2 linked regions of the Drosophila melanogaster genome follow. The gene in region 2 interacts genetically with the main gene of each other region. Each region holds a gene or a part of one and is shown on either strand. Other genes may lie near its edges.

Region 1 (4,724 bases), on a different chromosome or scaffold from region 2:
TTACGGACGTTTTGGAGGCCATGGCCAGATACTTCAGCGATCAGGCTGTACAGCTTCTAATGCAGATGACCCGCACATTCGTAGAGGAGAACGTGGATTACATTGATCGCTCGCTGAATACGTTCGTATCAACTGAAGCGGTCCTCTATCGCATTCTAATGCATTGCGTTAAAACCTTTGATGACTTCGGCGAAGATTTCCTTCAGAGACAACGTGAGGATATTTTGATGGTGGTATCCAAGTACTTTCGATCACTGGAGCCAGTTGGCGAACAAAACTGCCGCAAGTACAAATGCAACGTTTGCAAAGGCGCCTACTATATTAGTTCCATATAAGCTGATTCCATGGTTCGAGCTGTCGGTTTATTAAGTGATTTAGTGATTAATAGATTGTGATACAACAAAGATTTGTTAGCCATCGTGACTCATTTGTACTAGGATTGTAATAATCTTTTAAGCCTTTATATGCGTCTTCTAAACCTAATATGCTGTTAAATTCTCTGAATGTTTGTTTAGTTTTAACTGTCCACCAATTTTTATAAAAAACACTTTAATTCCGATCAGTTGCCGTATTCGATTGTTTATTCAAAATCGATCTAAGTGTATAAATACTGTAAATGGATCTGTGTCCCTGGGAGTGGGCACAAATAAGGTACTCTATAAGAGTGAGCGCGACTTGTAGAATGTACATGAATAGCCTAACTATAACTATGGACGGATTCAGAAGATTCTGACCAGATGGCACCGACTTGGAGCGTGGGGCATGGAGCATGACACTGGAGCTCTCTTAGCAGAAGAACTCCTCCTCGCACTGGTTTAGACAGCAGTAGGGAATGTTGTTGTAGGACCTGCTCGAGTGATCCCTCTTGAAGCGATGCTTCTTTTCGTGGTGCGGCTTGATGGGCTTGTAGCGCGGAAAGATGTCCAGTTCGCTGAGGCGATTGAAGTGCTCCCGGGTCACCTTCAGGTAGCCACCCATTGGATAGCTGCTTCGGCTGATGTAGTGATGCTTGTTGTGCGTTTTGCCGGCTGAAAAGGGGGAAAACGTTGCCAGTGAGCAAATTGATCTTGAACCTGCGCCTTGAAGTCGGTTAACTTTTGCATCGGAACTGCTTTATGCAAATGCCGTATTAATTGCAATCTACACACTTAAAAAAAAACGTGTTTTCGATATGCAGTTCCGAATGCAATTGTCGGGTTGACTGACACTCTGACCTTATTAGCTCGCTAATCCAATATTTTAATCTTTTCCTTATCGATGTTCAGTGGATATTGTTTAATTGAGATTTTAAAACGTAAGTATTATAGTTGGAAACAAAATTTAAAAATGGTAAAGTCATAACGAAGCATTATAATAATTTGATCTTTAAATTTATCCGAAATATTTTTAAACATTTTTTTTCCTAGTGCCACACTATGCTCTAAAATCTAAGATCTAGATCTAGATACTTACATCCAAGTCGATTCAGATGGTGGTGCGCGAACTCGATGGACCTTCTGTCGCGGCGGGCACCCTCGTCCGCCTGAAAGAGGTGCTCGCACGCCTCCATCGCGAACTTCTTCATCCGCTCCAGGGAGCAGAAGCTGCCCGACGAGCTGCCCATCAGGCAACAGACTCCGATGACCAGCAGCATCCAGCGGCACATATGCAACTGCAATGGAGGAGCGGGCGAAACAACAAGTGAGTATGAGTATATTCCAAATTAAACACCCAACCGGCCTCCGGCTCCTAATTATAAATCGCTGACGTTCAGAATTTATCGCATAAGTGTTACAACGATCCTCTAACCGGCTGCACTCTGCCCTGCTTTGGCATTTCAATGTGAATCTGGATCGCCGCTCTGGACACATCTGGATTAACCACTTCGGATGACGACAGCCGGGTGTCGGGATGCCGGGATGTCTGGATGACGTCGCCGACTCCCACGCACCGGAGTATGCCGCCCATTAACTGGGTCAATATCGCATCAAGATCGAAACATAAACTGGAGCGCATTTGCAAGTCGACGCGGCCAAATGGTGAATTTTAATTGCCGCTTTTAATGACCGAAACTTCCCCGACATTACGGCGATCTGGAGCTGAAGTGGAAATTATGTAATGCGCCCCGCAGGTAGGCATTTCCGCATTTTGCATTTCGCATTTCGTATATCGCACCTTGCGGTGACACTCCAGTCTGTTTAGCACTCCAGTCCGCCATATGAATCCGATTCGGAATCGATGCGGGCATTATGCTCTTGCCCGCGGAGAACAAAAGCGCATTTGTTTATATTGGATATTGATATTTTTAGCTGACAGCCTGTTAATTGCACACACCCACTTTTTTTGTGGCGCGAAGCTAATTTAAGTAATTAAAGTGGAGTGTTCTTAGAAGACAGTTATTTGTTTGGAAAATTTCTGGACTCAATTTGGAAAAGTCCACCTTGTACTGGAAATGTTTAAGTTCAGTACAATGATTTCAAGGAATGCATAATTTGGTGTATGAAATCATTCTGAGAACTGAATGTTTGATGTTTAATGCTTTGGTGCTGAGCAACTAACCAACTATAATGCTAAAGAGCTACACGAATTAGTTATGCTAGTGTAATAGTTAAAAAACAAAAATAAGAGTTTAACTTCAACTCGAACTCACCTTTGAACTCATTTTAGTGGCGTTCTAGGATCACAATTCTCAATAGATCAATAGATCAGTAGGCACGTCGATCACCTTTCTGGCTGCAACACTACGTATACGTGTTTTCTTTTGGCGGGCAAACTTGCTGCAGAGCTAACTTGCTGAATGGTTAACCCGTCCGTCCGATCGACGTTACCTGATAATCACGAGCGGCGAGCGCACAATGAGCTTTCGTTGCCGACGTAGCCAAGCTTTTATACGCGCCTCAAAAATCGAGGATCGGCGCTTCGGATCGGCTCAGTTTGCCGCTCAGACAGCCGCTCTTCACTTTTCAATGGGAATGGGCGATGGGGGTGAGAGAGAGAGAGAGAGAGAGAGCAGATTTCGGGATTTGTAATTCTTCGGTTTCGGTTTCGGGTATGGAGTATGGGGTATGGGTTATGGGGTTCGGTCTCGGCTTTTTGGGGATCGGGATCCGCTCGCAGGAGTTTTGCGTAAGCGGCAGGGCGCGCCGAGCATTCAGAAATATACATTTTTTTTTATCAATGGGCCTCGGAACGGACGTCAGACCAGAAGAGTTGGCATTTATAGTTTCATGGCGCCGCCGTTTCGATCTTAAACGAATTTCAACATAAATGGACTCGGCGGACTCACTGAGTCACAGTCACATGCTGCTGGACTTGCTGCTGCTCTTGATAAAGCCGAGGCGAATACTGTTAGCTGGAACAGTCTAAAAACACTCTTATCAGCGCACCTTGGCAATGTAATAAGGTAGTAATAGCTACTGGTGATTTGACGGCCGATGGTGGCAGTGAAAGTGAAAACTTGGACCTTGTTGCCGGGGCTTTTCCAACCAGGGCAACGCACTTCTTGATAGCCGTGCATGCTTCTCTAATATGATTGCTTATTTATGTGGATCCATAAACAAGTTGAACAGACCCATAAAACCATTCAAATATTGTGTGTAGAATTTGAAGAACTGTAAAATTGAAATTGTTGACTGGCGTTTCCCATTGAAAGTCGAGAAAAACAACAGTGATTAGCTTTAATGCGGTAATCATTTGTTAAATCATACTTTGTACCAGACTCACTCATCATTTAGCATGCTAAAAAATGATCCAAATGCCTTTACCATCTTTTTCAGTGGCAAAGTACTACTGTTTACTATAAGTAAAGAGTCTAGAATGACAGGTTCGTTGAGCAATGGAAAGCTAAGACATTTGAAAGCTTAAGAAATTTTTGCATTGAATAATATTCCAATGGACCTCATGGTGTTTTATTCAACCTGAAATTAAATGATAACATAACATTCTTAAAAAACTGGTTGCAGAAACCAATAAACAGTAAAGTTTAATGTTCATATAGGGGGCATTTCGTTCAAAGTCTAAAAAAATGAATTCATTAAAAAAAAAAAATTGTATTATGTTGTGAATAAAAAATGGAAGGCCAGCGAAATTGTTGTTAAACATTCAGATTTATATAGAAATAATATATAAAGTTACCGCACATTTGCTGATGTACTATGTATTGTATTTCCAAAGGTTTCTATCTCTACGATTGCTGCTTTTCGTATGATAGCAGGGTTCTGTGAAAAAGCGAAAGTGTAGAACTTTCACTGTCGTTTCTGTTCGGCTCTGCCTCTGTCTCTTTCGGTATCGGGCTCGCCCTCTCTTTCGCTCACCCTGTTGCAGCATCATTTGGGGTGGAGCACTTAACGGTTGTTCTGGATCGGGCGTCATCATCGTGCGTTCTTATTTTATCAGATCGTTTGTGTTACGTTCTTTTTCGGATATTTTTAGCCGCTCTCTCGGTCAATGCACACTTTCGGCCGACTTTTTATGGGTTCAGATTGTTACGTTTCTGATTCCGATTCCGATTCGGTTCGGATTTGGTTTCGGTTTCGTTTCCACATTCGTTTTGGTTATGCTGTTTTCTTTTTTTTTGCCACTTGCTTTTCGCTTTCGTTGCATTCCCGCATGCGGAAATGTTAGCCGGCCCTCGTGGCGTATGCGCAATGCTGCTGCGCAGTTGCATTTTCTCCCGCATTTCGCACGTATCCTTCGGAATGTGCATTCTCGCGCTCGTCGATCCGATCGGCAACGCATAACGGTAA
Region 2 (3,703 bases):
CTCGCCAGCAGGAAAAACGACGAAGTGCCAGTCAGCCCGAACTCGAGAAGATATTGCACTGATCTGAATCTGAATCTGAATCTGGGGGATCGCGCACGTGCGCGATGGGAAAAAGCTCTTCCCACATCGCCGGAATCGTGGGGTGCCAGCCCACTGATACCATCGACCCATATATGATGCACTAAATCAACTCGAAGCGAACCAGAAGTTATAAGCAATTAATAAATAGTTTGTTAAACTTTACAATAAGCAGAGAAAAACGTTTTATATTCATAAATCAAACTTAGTCTCGCACCTGATTTATTTTCTTAATCTAGAATGCCACATTAGAAGAATGGTTTAGTTTGAATTTTGTAAGAGCCTAGAATACATTTTATAAATCTGTTATTCCTAAGATTTTAATTTTAATTTGTTGTGCAATTATAACAATATGCTTAAAGATCTCATTTCTAGCCATAACTCATATCATTCTTTGGATTTAGATTAATTAGGGGGGGAATATCATGTATCACTGTTTCAAAAATTTAATACGCATATAAAGCCTTCGGATCTAAAAAATCTTCTGTGCAGATCTCTGGTTTTCCAAACTGATAAGACTGTCTGAAGTTTAACTTATGTAACTTATCTTATTATAACTAATAAACTCCTTTAAACTAGCTATCAGCAGTCAGCGGTAGAAACCAGCTCCATAAACGACCTAGACGGAGGAGAAGTAGTCGCAGCTGCCGCACATGTCGTATAGTTGTCCCGAAGCGGGTTCGATGAAAAATCGCAGGGCCTGAGTGCACTGAAGTTCATGGCTGGCGATTTGTTGTTGCAGCAGTATCTGCAGCTGTTCCATGTTCGCAGAGTGCTCGAAGCGGATGCCACACTCGCAGATGAAGGCACCTTTGTGATGGCGTAGGTTTTTAATCTGACAAACTGGGCATAAAACCTCCTTTTGCTGCTCATCGGGCTCTGCGTATAGCGTTTCCAGATTCTTTTCGCCCAGGGCATACCACTCGTTGACATCGGATAGTAGCTCCTCCAGAATCAGCTCCTCAAGCTCCACATCCTTCTCTAGCTCACTGAGTTCCAGGCGCAGGATTTCCCTGAGTTCGGACTGAAAAAATGGGTGGTTTATGATGGGCTTACTATGGAGATTTGTATGTCCTACCAATTGGATTTCTCGTTGGGCATCCGTGCATCTATTGCGCGTTTCTATGATGCGCTTGCGGTATTTCTACAGGGTATTTATGTGTAAGTATATTGGTACTTTAAGGGGTACACTGATGTCTTTACCTCTCGCAGCATTTCGCGAAGTCTTGGCATTTGGTTGCCCATCCGCTGTCTTTTGGCCACTTCTTGAGCATGCCGCTTTTGCTCCACGGAGGTGCGATAAACCGGGCTTTGAGTGGAGTTCATTTCGGTTTATTTGTATATGTGGTTATTTTGTTTGTTTTTAATCTTTTTTTTTAACTAGATATGGTAGGTCAGTGTCGTCAATAAGGCAAGGTTCCAATTTTATAGCGCTGTTGGTGATTGATAGTGATCTAAAAAGTATACGGTATTCAAAATTAATTAGGTAAATTAAGTGAAATGAAGTAAATGTAAGATACGACTCATCTCCACATATATATAAAAGATTATAAAATAAGTAGTATTACTTAACACAGCCCATGAAGACAGCTCGCACAATGAATTCATGAACTAAGGGCGGCTTAAATACACTATTAACATGTTTAACCAACTTACCTAGTAATTAGCAATCGGAAATAGTTGAAAAACACAACTTTTTTGCTAAAAAAAAAAATCCGCGCAATTTGCTGTTGCTCTGCTAGTGGTGGCACTTCTTCGATAGCCCACTCCGCGGCCAGTGTGACCGTTTGGCCGATGGCGCGCGTGTCACGTGTGCACGCATTTCGCAGCACTGAAAGCAGGGTTGTACCGATTTGACAGCCCGAAGTTGGCGTATAGCACGTTTCCGGTCTTTCTTTCCCTTTCTTTTACCAGCGTGTGCAGTGACTAGTAAAAGGTTAGTGCGATATTTTCAATAAAAATACCATCCAAAGTGAAAGGAAACCGCTCAAATGCCATTGTTTTGTGCCGCCCACAGATGCCTGCTCCGGTCGTCAAGAAGCCAGCAGCGAAAAAGCTGCCCGCCGTGCCGGAATCGAAGCTGAAGTTCAGCAAGAAACAAATCTCCAAGCGAGTCGCCGAGTCGAAACGTCGCCTGAAGAAGGCCGCCGTGATTGCCCTGCGCAAGAAGGAGAACCTGGTCCGCGCCGAGAAGTACCAGAATGAGTACATCAAGGCGGAACAGCGCGAGATCAAGCTGCGTCGCTTGGCCAAGAAGCGCAACCAGTTCTACGTGCCCGCCGAGGCCAAATTGGCCTTTGTCGTCCGTATCCGCGGGTAAGTCCTCTAATGCTCCTCCATGCACAAGTCACACCAATTCATGCCCAATCCCATTAACCGCCAACAGTATCAACAAGGTGGCTCCCAAGGTCCGCAAGGTTCTGCAGCTGTTCCGTCTGAGGCAGATCAACAACGGTGTGTTCATCAAGCTGAACAAGGCCACCATCAACATGCTGCGCATCGCCGAGCCCTACATCACCTGGGGCTATCCCAATCTGAAGTCCGTGCGGGAGCTGATCTACAAGCGTGGATTCGTGAAGCATAACCGCCAGCGCGTGCCCATCACCGATAACTTCGTGATCGAGCGGAAGCTGCGTCAGGCGCACCAAATTCAGTGCGTCGAGGATCTTGTCCATGAGATCTTCACCGTGGGGCCCAACTTCAAGTACGCCTCCAACTTCCTGTGGCCCTTCAAGCTAAACACCCCCACCGGCGGCTGGCGCAAGAAGGCCAACCATTATGTCAACGGTGGTGACTTCGGCAACCGCGAGGACCAGATCAACCGTCTGCTGCGCAAGATGGTCTAAGGACTCCTTTTGATTTATGTGCTGAAACGACAACTGCAGCGGTTCGATGTAAACAGTGAGAGAAATAAAAGTTACTTTTATAAACCCACGAAATGCCGTTCAGTACAAAAACGCAGTGTTTTCGCTTCGATTCGCTGATTTAGTCATTGCGACTTAAATTGGAAAATATCAGTGAAGAGAGAGAGGACTTTTTTAAGGAACGTTTAGTTAAATGTACCAATAGTTTCATAACAACTTTAAATTTAGTAATTTTCTTTCATTTTAATGTTACATTTTTACTTTAAAGAATTCTGCGGTACTCCAGAAAGTCTTGCCCTTTGCTAAGATTAACCCCACGTTCAGTATAATTTTTTGGTTTGCTAATCGTTAATAATTCGATGTATAGCAATATTTAAATTTAAAATTTAGACAGTTTGCTTTTGTAGGCCCATTATTTGAAATGAAAACACAGGATTCTTGTTAATTTGTCTACGCTCTAGATTGTTTATTGTTGTTCTGGTCAAATTTTAAGCGCGCTTAGTGCACAACACTTAAATGCAGATAGCAAGCTAGATTCAGGGTGCCAGGGATAAAAATCGTTTGCCAATGTACACTTTATTGAATCATGGTTTGCCTTTCAGCTGGCAGTGGATTTAAATCGTTTTTTTTTTTTTTACACACACAATAGTCCAAAGCAGTTAGCAAACAAACATAAATTGTAAATTCCAATAGCATGGAAATTAGTCAATAATCGGGAGGAAGCTGGCACCCTTTTTAAATGTATAATTTAATTAATCGTT

The links. A genetic interaction does not mean that the proteins touch.
Region 1: of RpL7 (region 2) and Ilp8, changing one suppresses a phenotype caused by changing the other (phenotypic suppression), as found in Drosophila melanogaster (one study listed by BioGRID).

What each region holds. Positions count from the first base shown.
Region 1 is NT_037436.4:17,029,257-17,033,980, forward strand, and holds Ilp8 (Insulin-like peptide 8), read right to left. Parts: upstream 2,825-4,724; 5' UTR 2,642-2,824; coding exon 2,630-2,641; intron 1,652-2,629; coding exon 1,453-1,651; intron 1,029-1,452; coding exon 787-1,028; 3' UTR 556-786; downstream 1-555. Other genes in the region: CG7730 (uncharacterized protein), read left to right, coding at 1-335.
Region 2 is NT_033779.5:10,199,135-10,202,837, forward strand, and holds RpL7 (ribosomal protein L7), read left to right. Parts: upstream 1-1,869; 5' UTR 1,870-2,014; intron 2,015-2,095; coding exon 2,096-2,394; intron 2,395-2,464; coding exon 2,465-2,924; 3' UTR 2,925-3,187; downstream 3,188-3,703. Other genes in the region: Ripalpha (RPA-interacting protein alpha), read right to left, coding at 698-1,102, 1,157-1,222, 1,282-1,404. UniProt on the Drosophila melanogaster protein: Binds to G-rich structures in 28S rRNA and in mRNAs. Plays a regulatory role in the translation apparatus; inhibits cell-free translation of mRNAs.